Linked DNA regions of Cricetulus griseus. The protein of the gene in region 1 interacts with the protein of each later gene in a pairwise test. Links are inferred from orthologs where the notes say so. Each region holds a gene or a part of one and is shown on either strand. Other genes may lie near its edges.

The links. The genes of interacting proteins can lie anywhere in the genome.
Region 2: the proteins of Acy3 (region 1) and Pmm2 interact in binary tests that used the Homo sapiens proteins (3 or more experiments, as listed by UniProt). The two-hybrid records come from large-scale screens. The link is inferred for Cricetulus griseus from reciprocal best matches to the Homo sapiens genes ACY3 and PMM2.

What each region holds. Positions count from the first base shown.
Region 1 is NC_048596.1:55,252,892-55,257,172, reverse strand, and holds the start of Acy3 (N-acyl-aromatic-L-amino acid amidohydrolase (carboxylate-forming)), read left to right. Parts: upstream 1-1,481; 5' UTR 1,482-1,538; intron 1,539-1,914; exon of another isoform or gene 1,915-1,971; 5' UTR 1,972-2,176; exon of another isoform or gene 2,177-2,473; intron 2,474-3,125; 5' UTR 3,126-3,391; coding exon 3,392-3,627; intron 3,628-4,051; coding exon 4,052-4,247; intron 4,248-4,281. UniProt on the Homo sapiens protein: Plays an important role in deacetylating mercapturic acids in kidney proximal tubules. Also acts on N-acetyl-aromatic amino acids.
Region 2 is NC_048600.1:38,114,806-38,117,899, reverse strand, and holds the end of Pmm2 (phosphomannomutase 2), read left to right. Parts: intron 1-924; coding exon 925-1,026; 3' UTR 1,027-2,594; downstream 2,595-3,094. UniProt on the Homo sapiens protein: Involved in the synthesis of the GDP-mannose and dolichol-phosphate-mannose required for a number of critical mannosyl transfer reactions.

The DNA of each region.
Region 1 (4,281 bases):
GAGCAAACAAAGCCATTTCGGTTATAGCACCCTTGAAACCACAAAGACTAGGCAAAACATTTTGCAATTTCATTTGAAGCATCAATGGGCTCTAAGATTTGAACCCCATGGGTCCCAGCCTCAAAGAAGTGGGGAGGTGCCCTAAGAGCTGCAGGAACAGAGGGTGATGCTAAGGAGGCCAAGGGAAGGGGACTTCTTTTCTGGTGGCCCCCAAGGTACAAGGCTGGTGCAGCCATAACCAAGTCACTAGCCACTGCTGTCTGCCTTAAGTAGCCTTAAGGAAAGTGCCTCTCTGGGTAGATGGGTTGGAGCACCAGACAGGCCTTGTCTACCCACATGGGACAAGACCCTGAACCAACTCCACAGTCAGAAAAGCCAAACCCTTTCTGAGGACTGGGAGTCATCGTTCCAGTGTAGTGATATATTTTTTATGATTTATTAAAGCTTGCCTGAGGATTCATAAAGCAAAGTCAGCCACAAGCCATAGAAGCTAGACACACACCTTTAGTCCCAGCATCCAGAAGCTAGGAGGTGGTGGTACACACCTTTAATCCTAAGACTCAGGATTAAGAGGCGGACAGATCTAAGTTCAAGGCCACACAGAAATACATGTTATTGAATCAGTGTAAAGAATAGTCTTCATCCAGCAGCTGGTGGGTGAAAGGCCCGCTGCCTCTCTGTCTCCCCCCGCCTATGCTGATGCTGGGTGTTCTCTCTGGAGCAGCCGGGATGGGCTGAGAAGAGCAGTTGACCTAGGGCAGCGCCTCGGGGACTGAGCAGGGCAGAGCCAGGATACGGCCAGGGGCTGGAGAGTGCAGCGCGGGCGAGCTGCCGCGGAGCCGCCCTGCTTCCCCTTTGTCCCGCTGTCCCTGCCCCCGCCGGCCCCACGCCCCCGGCTGCCGTTTTCCCTCCCAAGCCGGTTCACCCAGGCGGGGCTGCCCTGGCACCGCGCCCCGGGGCTGGGGCCGAGCGGGAAAAGGGCACCCCTCCCCCCCCCCCCCCCCCCGTTGGGGAACCTTCGTCCCAAGGTCAGCCACCTGGGCGCGGAGGGAGGAATCAAGTCTGTTGTACCAGACACCAGACCTTGAGAATATGCTGATCTGGAATGGCTCTGTGCCTCATTTGAACCATCCAATAGAATCCCTGTTCCTTGCTTGTGTTTTTTTCTATAAAAAGGCACCTCTCCCTTGGCTCGGCGCGCTTAGCCACACAGAAGCTAAGTCGCCCCGGGTACCCGCGTCTCCAATAAAGCCTCTTGTTTTTACATCCAGTTCGTGGCCTCGCTGATTCCTGGGTGTGGGTCTCCCTCTACGAAAGTACCTCTTCGGGGGTCTTTCAGTGGAAGTAGAAGCAGACACCCACAGCTAAACCTTGAACTGAACTGAAATCCAGTTGCAGAGAAGGAGGAGTGATGAGCAAAGGGGTCCACACCAGGCTGGTGAAACCCACAGGAACAGCTGACCTGAACAAGGGAGAGCTCTTGGTCCCCAGATTGATAGCTGGGAAACCAGCATTGGACTGATCCAGACACCCTGAATGTGAGTGCCAGTGAGGAGACCTCAGAAATCTATAGGGTCCCTTGTAGTGGATCAATACTTATCCCTAGCATAGGAATGGACTTTGGGAGCCCATCCCATATGGAGGGATACTCCCTCAGCCTAGACACAAGGGGGTTGACCTAGGTCCTATCCCAAATGGCAGACTTTGAAGGCCCCCTACAGAAGGCCTCACCCTCCCTGGGGAGCAGAAAGGGTATGGGATAGGTAGGGTGTTAGTTGGGGGGGGGCAGGGGAGGAGGGAAAGGAGAAGGAACTGGGCTTGACATGTAAAATAATCTTCTTTCTAATTAAAATAAAAAAGGAACTAGGCTATAAAAAAGAGAATAACAGATCACACGCCTTTAATTCCAGTACTAGAGGATTATAAAAGAAGCAGGGTCTTCAGCATTCAATAGGCGCATTCATTCTCCAGCCACGCTGAGGAGAGGCAGCACTTTGAGACTTGGTGAAGAGCTTGTGTGTGGATCAGCCGTTTCAGCCTGAACTAGAGGTGTGAGCCAGTGACCAGCTGCTCTGCTTCCCTGATCTTCAGCTTGAACCCGAATATCTGCCTCTGGGTCCTTTTATTTTTCGTGTTACATTCCAGGTCAGGAATCTCTGCGATTAATTTTCCAAGGGTAAGTGCAGCTTCCAGCAGGAATCCTCAGAGGCTCTGGCAGGTAAAACTGTCCCCATTTCCAGAGGAGGAGCAGAGGGCAAGGAACTTGCCCCAGGCATCTGGACCCATTAGGCTGTGGGGGTGGAGCCCTACGAACTTTGGCTGCTTGGCTCTCAGCCCAGCCACCCACCCCCAGCTCTCCAGTAACTGGGCACAAACACTTCCTGCATGGGGCCTCCAGGCCTGTAAATACTGTGGGCCAGGAGGTGGACACTTCAGGCCCGTGGCCTAGGGAAGCCCAGACACGTAGCAGCAGGTAAGAGGACTCGTGGAGGCTTTCTGCCAGGTCAGAGGAAGGGTGCAGGGGTGGCCTGGACCCTAGATACTTGCTGCACAGCTAATGGGGAGACAGTCTCCTCTCCTGGAAAGCTTGGCACCAGCTGTAGTGATGATGGTAGGGGTGGGACCAGCCAACTCTTCTGAATGTTTGAGTCCCTCTTAGGTTAGGTATGTTAGACCTGAGAAAGAGCCATTTCCAAGGCTATTTGATTAAAGCAAGGTGAATTTAGAGGAGCACAAGGGACTGGCCAGACCACAGCCTCCCCCTAAGTCAGGTTTCAGAGAGCAGCTCCTCAATGGCTTTTGAGGTCCCTTTGATGGGGAAGGGTTAGGTTGATAGAAAACAGCTGTTGAGATCATTGCTGTTAGTGCCTGGACAGAAGGGTGAGGGACTCAGGGCTCAAGGCTGCCTGGGGGGTAGACAGGCACAAGAAGAGGTGCCACCACAGGTGTTTAGGGTTTAACAAGGTAAAAGGCTGGGTATACATTACGGGTTACAAGTTCAGTACAGGTTGAGAAACATGGTTTACAGGAAACAGAGCCTATTCTTCTAAGAGATGGAGACTTATTAACAATGTGTGACAATGCGTCTCCTTAACACCAACGCGGCTCCTGTGCTGGTTTCACAGGTGGAAGAAACTCCTTCTAAAGGCAGAGAGGAAAGTGTCTCCTCTGAGAGAAAAGTGGGGAGAGCAGCTCACCCACAAAGAAAGTTCCAGAGGCAGAACTGAGGTGCCAAGTGGAACAGAAATTTCACTGAAGGTATCCTTGAACTTGGCTTCTGGGTACAGGTGGGACACAGCTGTCACCTGATACCTCTCAGACTTCTCAGGGCACGGGGAGCTCACCTTGCTGTCCCAGCTCTATCTCTTGTAGACTATTGCTCCACACTGGGATGAGCTCCCTGCCCGTGCCCCGGGAGCCCTTGCGCCGAGTGGCTGTGACTGGGGGCACCCACGGAAATGAGATGTGTGGCATCCACCTGATCCGGCACTGGCTGCAGGCCCCAGGGGAGCTGCAGAGACCCAGCTTCTCAGCCATGCCAGTTCTGGCCAACCCAGCAGCCACAGCCGCCTGTCGCCGTTACATGGACCGTGATCTCAACCGCACTTTCACCTTCACCTTCCTCAGGTGAGCTGGCCAGGTTGGCTGGTCCACAGCCGGGTACTAGCATCCCTGCAGACAAGCCTCTGTGGCTAGCAAGGCAGCCCTACCTTTGCTCATTGACCCTCTGGTTTTGAGAGAGCCAGATCAATGTCACTTCTTCCAGGAAGTCGGTCCTGACTGCAAGATGGATCAGTCCCTGAACCTTAGGCCAGACTCTTGACAGCTGGAGTGAGACTCACATTGGGGAATAGGACCAAGGTGTGACCCTCAGGTTACTGGGGACACAGTTGGATGCTACATGAAGCAGTCATGTAGCTGAGAGCAGTCAGGAAAGGCTTCTTGTAGGAGGTGGCATCTCAGCCAAGTCCTCAAAGGTGAAAAGTTAGCCAAGAAAAAGGACACTGATTGAGATGATGGGGACTGGTGTCCCCTACTCCTTCCCCCACAGTTCCACAGCCACTCCCAATGACCCATATGAAGTGACAAGAGCACAAGAGTTGAACCAGCTACTGGGCCCCAAGGGCACAGACCAGGCCTTTGACTTCATCTTAGACCTGCACAACACCACAGCCAACACTGGGGTCTGCCTCATCTCTGAAGCCTCTCACAGCCCCTTCAACTTGCACCTGTGTCACTACCTACAGGTGGTTCCTAGAGGGCAGGGAGAGGGAGGGAAGG
Region 2 (3,094 bases), on another chromosome or scaffold:
CCTACCCTGCCACCTTTCTTCCCATCTGCTGTCAGGTAGTCACTGGAGGGGCATTTAAATTTCATTAAAGTCAGGGATGGTGGCCTGTGCCTGTAATCCCAGCCAAAGGAGGCCAAAGCCAGGGATCTTGAATTTAAGGCCAGCCTGAGCTATGTAGCCTAACTTCCTCAAAATGGTGATGATGGTAATGATGATGTAGCTATATAGCCTAACTTCCTCAAAATGATGGTGATAATTAAACTCAAAGCTGACAGCTCATAGTCACATATTTGCCACACAAGTGAGAAACCTTTTCAGATACCCAGAACTTGTATAAAAAGCCAGGCATAGTGGTGTATGCTTATGATCCCAGCACTGGGAGGCAGAGACAAATGGATCCTAGCACTCCCTGGCCAAATGGTCCAGCCAAATCACTGAAGTCCAGGTTCAGTGAATATTCTGTCTCAAATGAGATGGAGAGCAACTGAGAAAGATACCCAATCAACCTGTACCCTACACATGCACACCTACAGGTAGGAACATGTATACCTACCTGTGAAATGTTAATTTCACAGGGTGTGAGCAGCCCCACTCTAGGCAGCCTGCCCCTCCAACATTCCTGTGACTTTCGAGAGACATTTGGGCACAAAGACAAACTGATAGCTGTGATTGTCATTTGCTGTACTTTTTCACTAGAAAAACAAGCCATAGCCAGATCCTCACAAAGGCATCTGATGCCTTTCATGAGCATAATTACCTTTTCTGAGTTCGATTTCGGTTCATGAGAAGGTTAAACTCCTGCTCAGTGTGACAAAAATGTCATTCCTTTCTTGGAAACTAAGGGAAAATTAACTGAAGAAACCTCCCTAAGCTAGGAACATCAGGGTTGCAACAGCCAGGGACCAGGACAAACCGTAGCCTACTGCTTCTGTTGTGTCTTTGCAGGGTGGCAATGACCATGAGATCTTCACAGACCCCAGAACTGTGGGCTACACGGTGACAGCACCCGAGGACACACGCAGGATCTGTGAGGAGCTCTTCCATTAACACCAGAGGAATGGGCCTGGCCAACAAGACTGAAAGGTCCCTCAGGGTCCGGGGTCACTTAGGGCCAGAGCCGGAGTCCCTCCTCATGTGTATATGTCCCTAGCCTCCAGCCAGGTTGTTCTCATGGGTCCAAACACACAGGGACTAGCGGTCACCTCACTGGGCATGCCAACAGGCCATGCCTCCACCTCCATCTAGCACCACCGGCAGCCCCAAGGGAAAAGAAAGAACTTAATCAGAAATGGCTGTGGCTGGATGTGGTGGATCATGTCTGGAATCTGTACTCAGGAAGCTGAGGCAGGAGCATTGCCAACCAGTCAGAAGACAGCCAGAGGTACAGAATGAGACCCTGTCTCAAACAGAATGGTGGCTCTGGGGTTGGGGGCATTACCCAAAGAACACTTGGCCTAGTATGGATGAGGCTCTCCATTGATTTAAGTACCTCAGAAACAGAAGTATTCCACCATTCCCTTCCTTCAGCCTATGGTCTAAGAACTGGCTGACAGGATCCATGGCTGGTCTTTGAAATGTCCCCATATGATGATACAAAAAAAAAAAAAAAAACAGTATGCCTGGGCCCCTTCCCCTTTGTGGACCGTTTTCTGGCAGTGGTGGGTTGGGGGAGGCTTTATTTGGAGCCATGGTCTCACTGTGTAGCCCTGGGCCAGCCTGACTTTGAGCTCCATCTTATGCCTGTGCCTTACAGATGCAGGTTACATGCACCAATACACCTGCCAAGGTTTCACAGAGACTTGACAATTGTCAGTGTGCAGGGAGACCTGATGGTTGTCAGTGTGCACACCCATCTCACCATCAAAAGGGGGACCTGATGATGAAAAAACATAAGCTATGCACAGTTGCCCACCTGGGACGAAACTGAAGGCTTCTGTGATATATTCCCAGTCTGCGGTGGAGGCTGGGGCATGAACTAAGGCCAGTGTTCTACCAAAGGGCTGATGTTTCTGTTTTCAAGCCAGCTTCCTGTCTATGAGCCAGAGACCACAGCTTGGCCTGCCTGACAGATAGCTGGCCAAGTGACAACTGATCCTAGTTTGCACCTCTACTGGCCTGGCTGGCTCTATTTACTACATTTTACAGCAGGACTGCTGCCTTGTCACCAGCAGGAGGGGGGATAGAGGACCCAGCAAAGCAAAGCCCTGTCTGCAGTCCTTCCCTCCAAGCTACCTGACCCAGGTAATAGCCAGATGACCACATAGGAGCTGCCACTCCTTCAGCCTCTTCCTGGAGAGTGCACAGGCCTCGTCCAAAACCTCAGGGAGTGCCTTCTAAGAAAGTCCCCAGGCCACTTTCCAGTGCCTAGTAAACGGTTCTGCAGCCCAGCTCCTTGTTGGGAACTGCTGCTGCTACCCTTTCCTGCCTCCAGCCACCATGTATTCCCACAGCCCTGCCCTTGGCTACCCACACTGGCATCTGCTACTGACCCCTTCACCTCTGTCCACCCCCACAGGACAGTGCCAGGATCTCCACCCAGAGGCAAACGTTCTTGGATTTTACGGCAGTGCTGTGATCACTTGCCCAGGGAAACACATTAAAGGGACTGCACCTTCCTTGCCTCTTGTTCTGGTCACTTTAATCCTGGGTGTCAGATGGGTTCTTCAGAGAGCTCCACCTTGGGTCCTGAAAACCTCTTCTGCTCTACTCTAGTGACACTGGAGCCCTAGCTGTCCTGGCTGCTGTAGGTCCCAGCTGGCCAGAGGCTGTGTTTTGCCTGCAGGTCCCGTGCTGCCCTCAGGTGGGGACCCAAAGCTGCCAGGTGGACTTCAGGCCTTGTCAGTTCCTACAGTGGCTGTCACCCCCCTCACACACACACACACACACACACACACAGTCATCATTCAGTCTTCCCACCTAATAAAGGGCCTCTGCTCTCCAGGCATCACCTGGCTGTAAAAAAACGATAGTGGCTAAGTCACACATGTATGGCTTTGCTGGTGGAGCAGGGCCTGCAGTATGATGAGTGGCTGCCCAGGATGAAGGACTAGTTCTGCTAGACAGATGTAGCTCAAGGCAAGCCCTGACCTCAGTTTCTCATCTGTTAAGTGGGCAG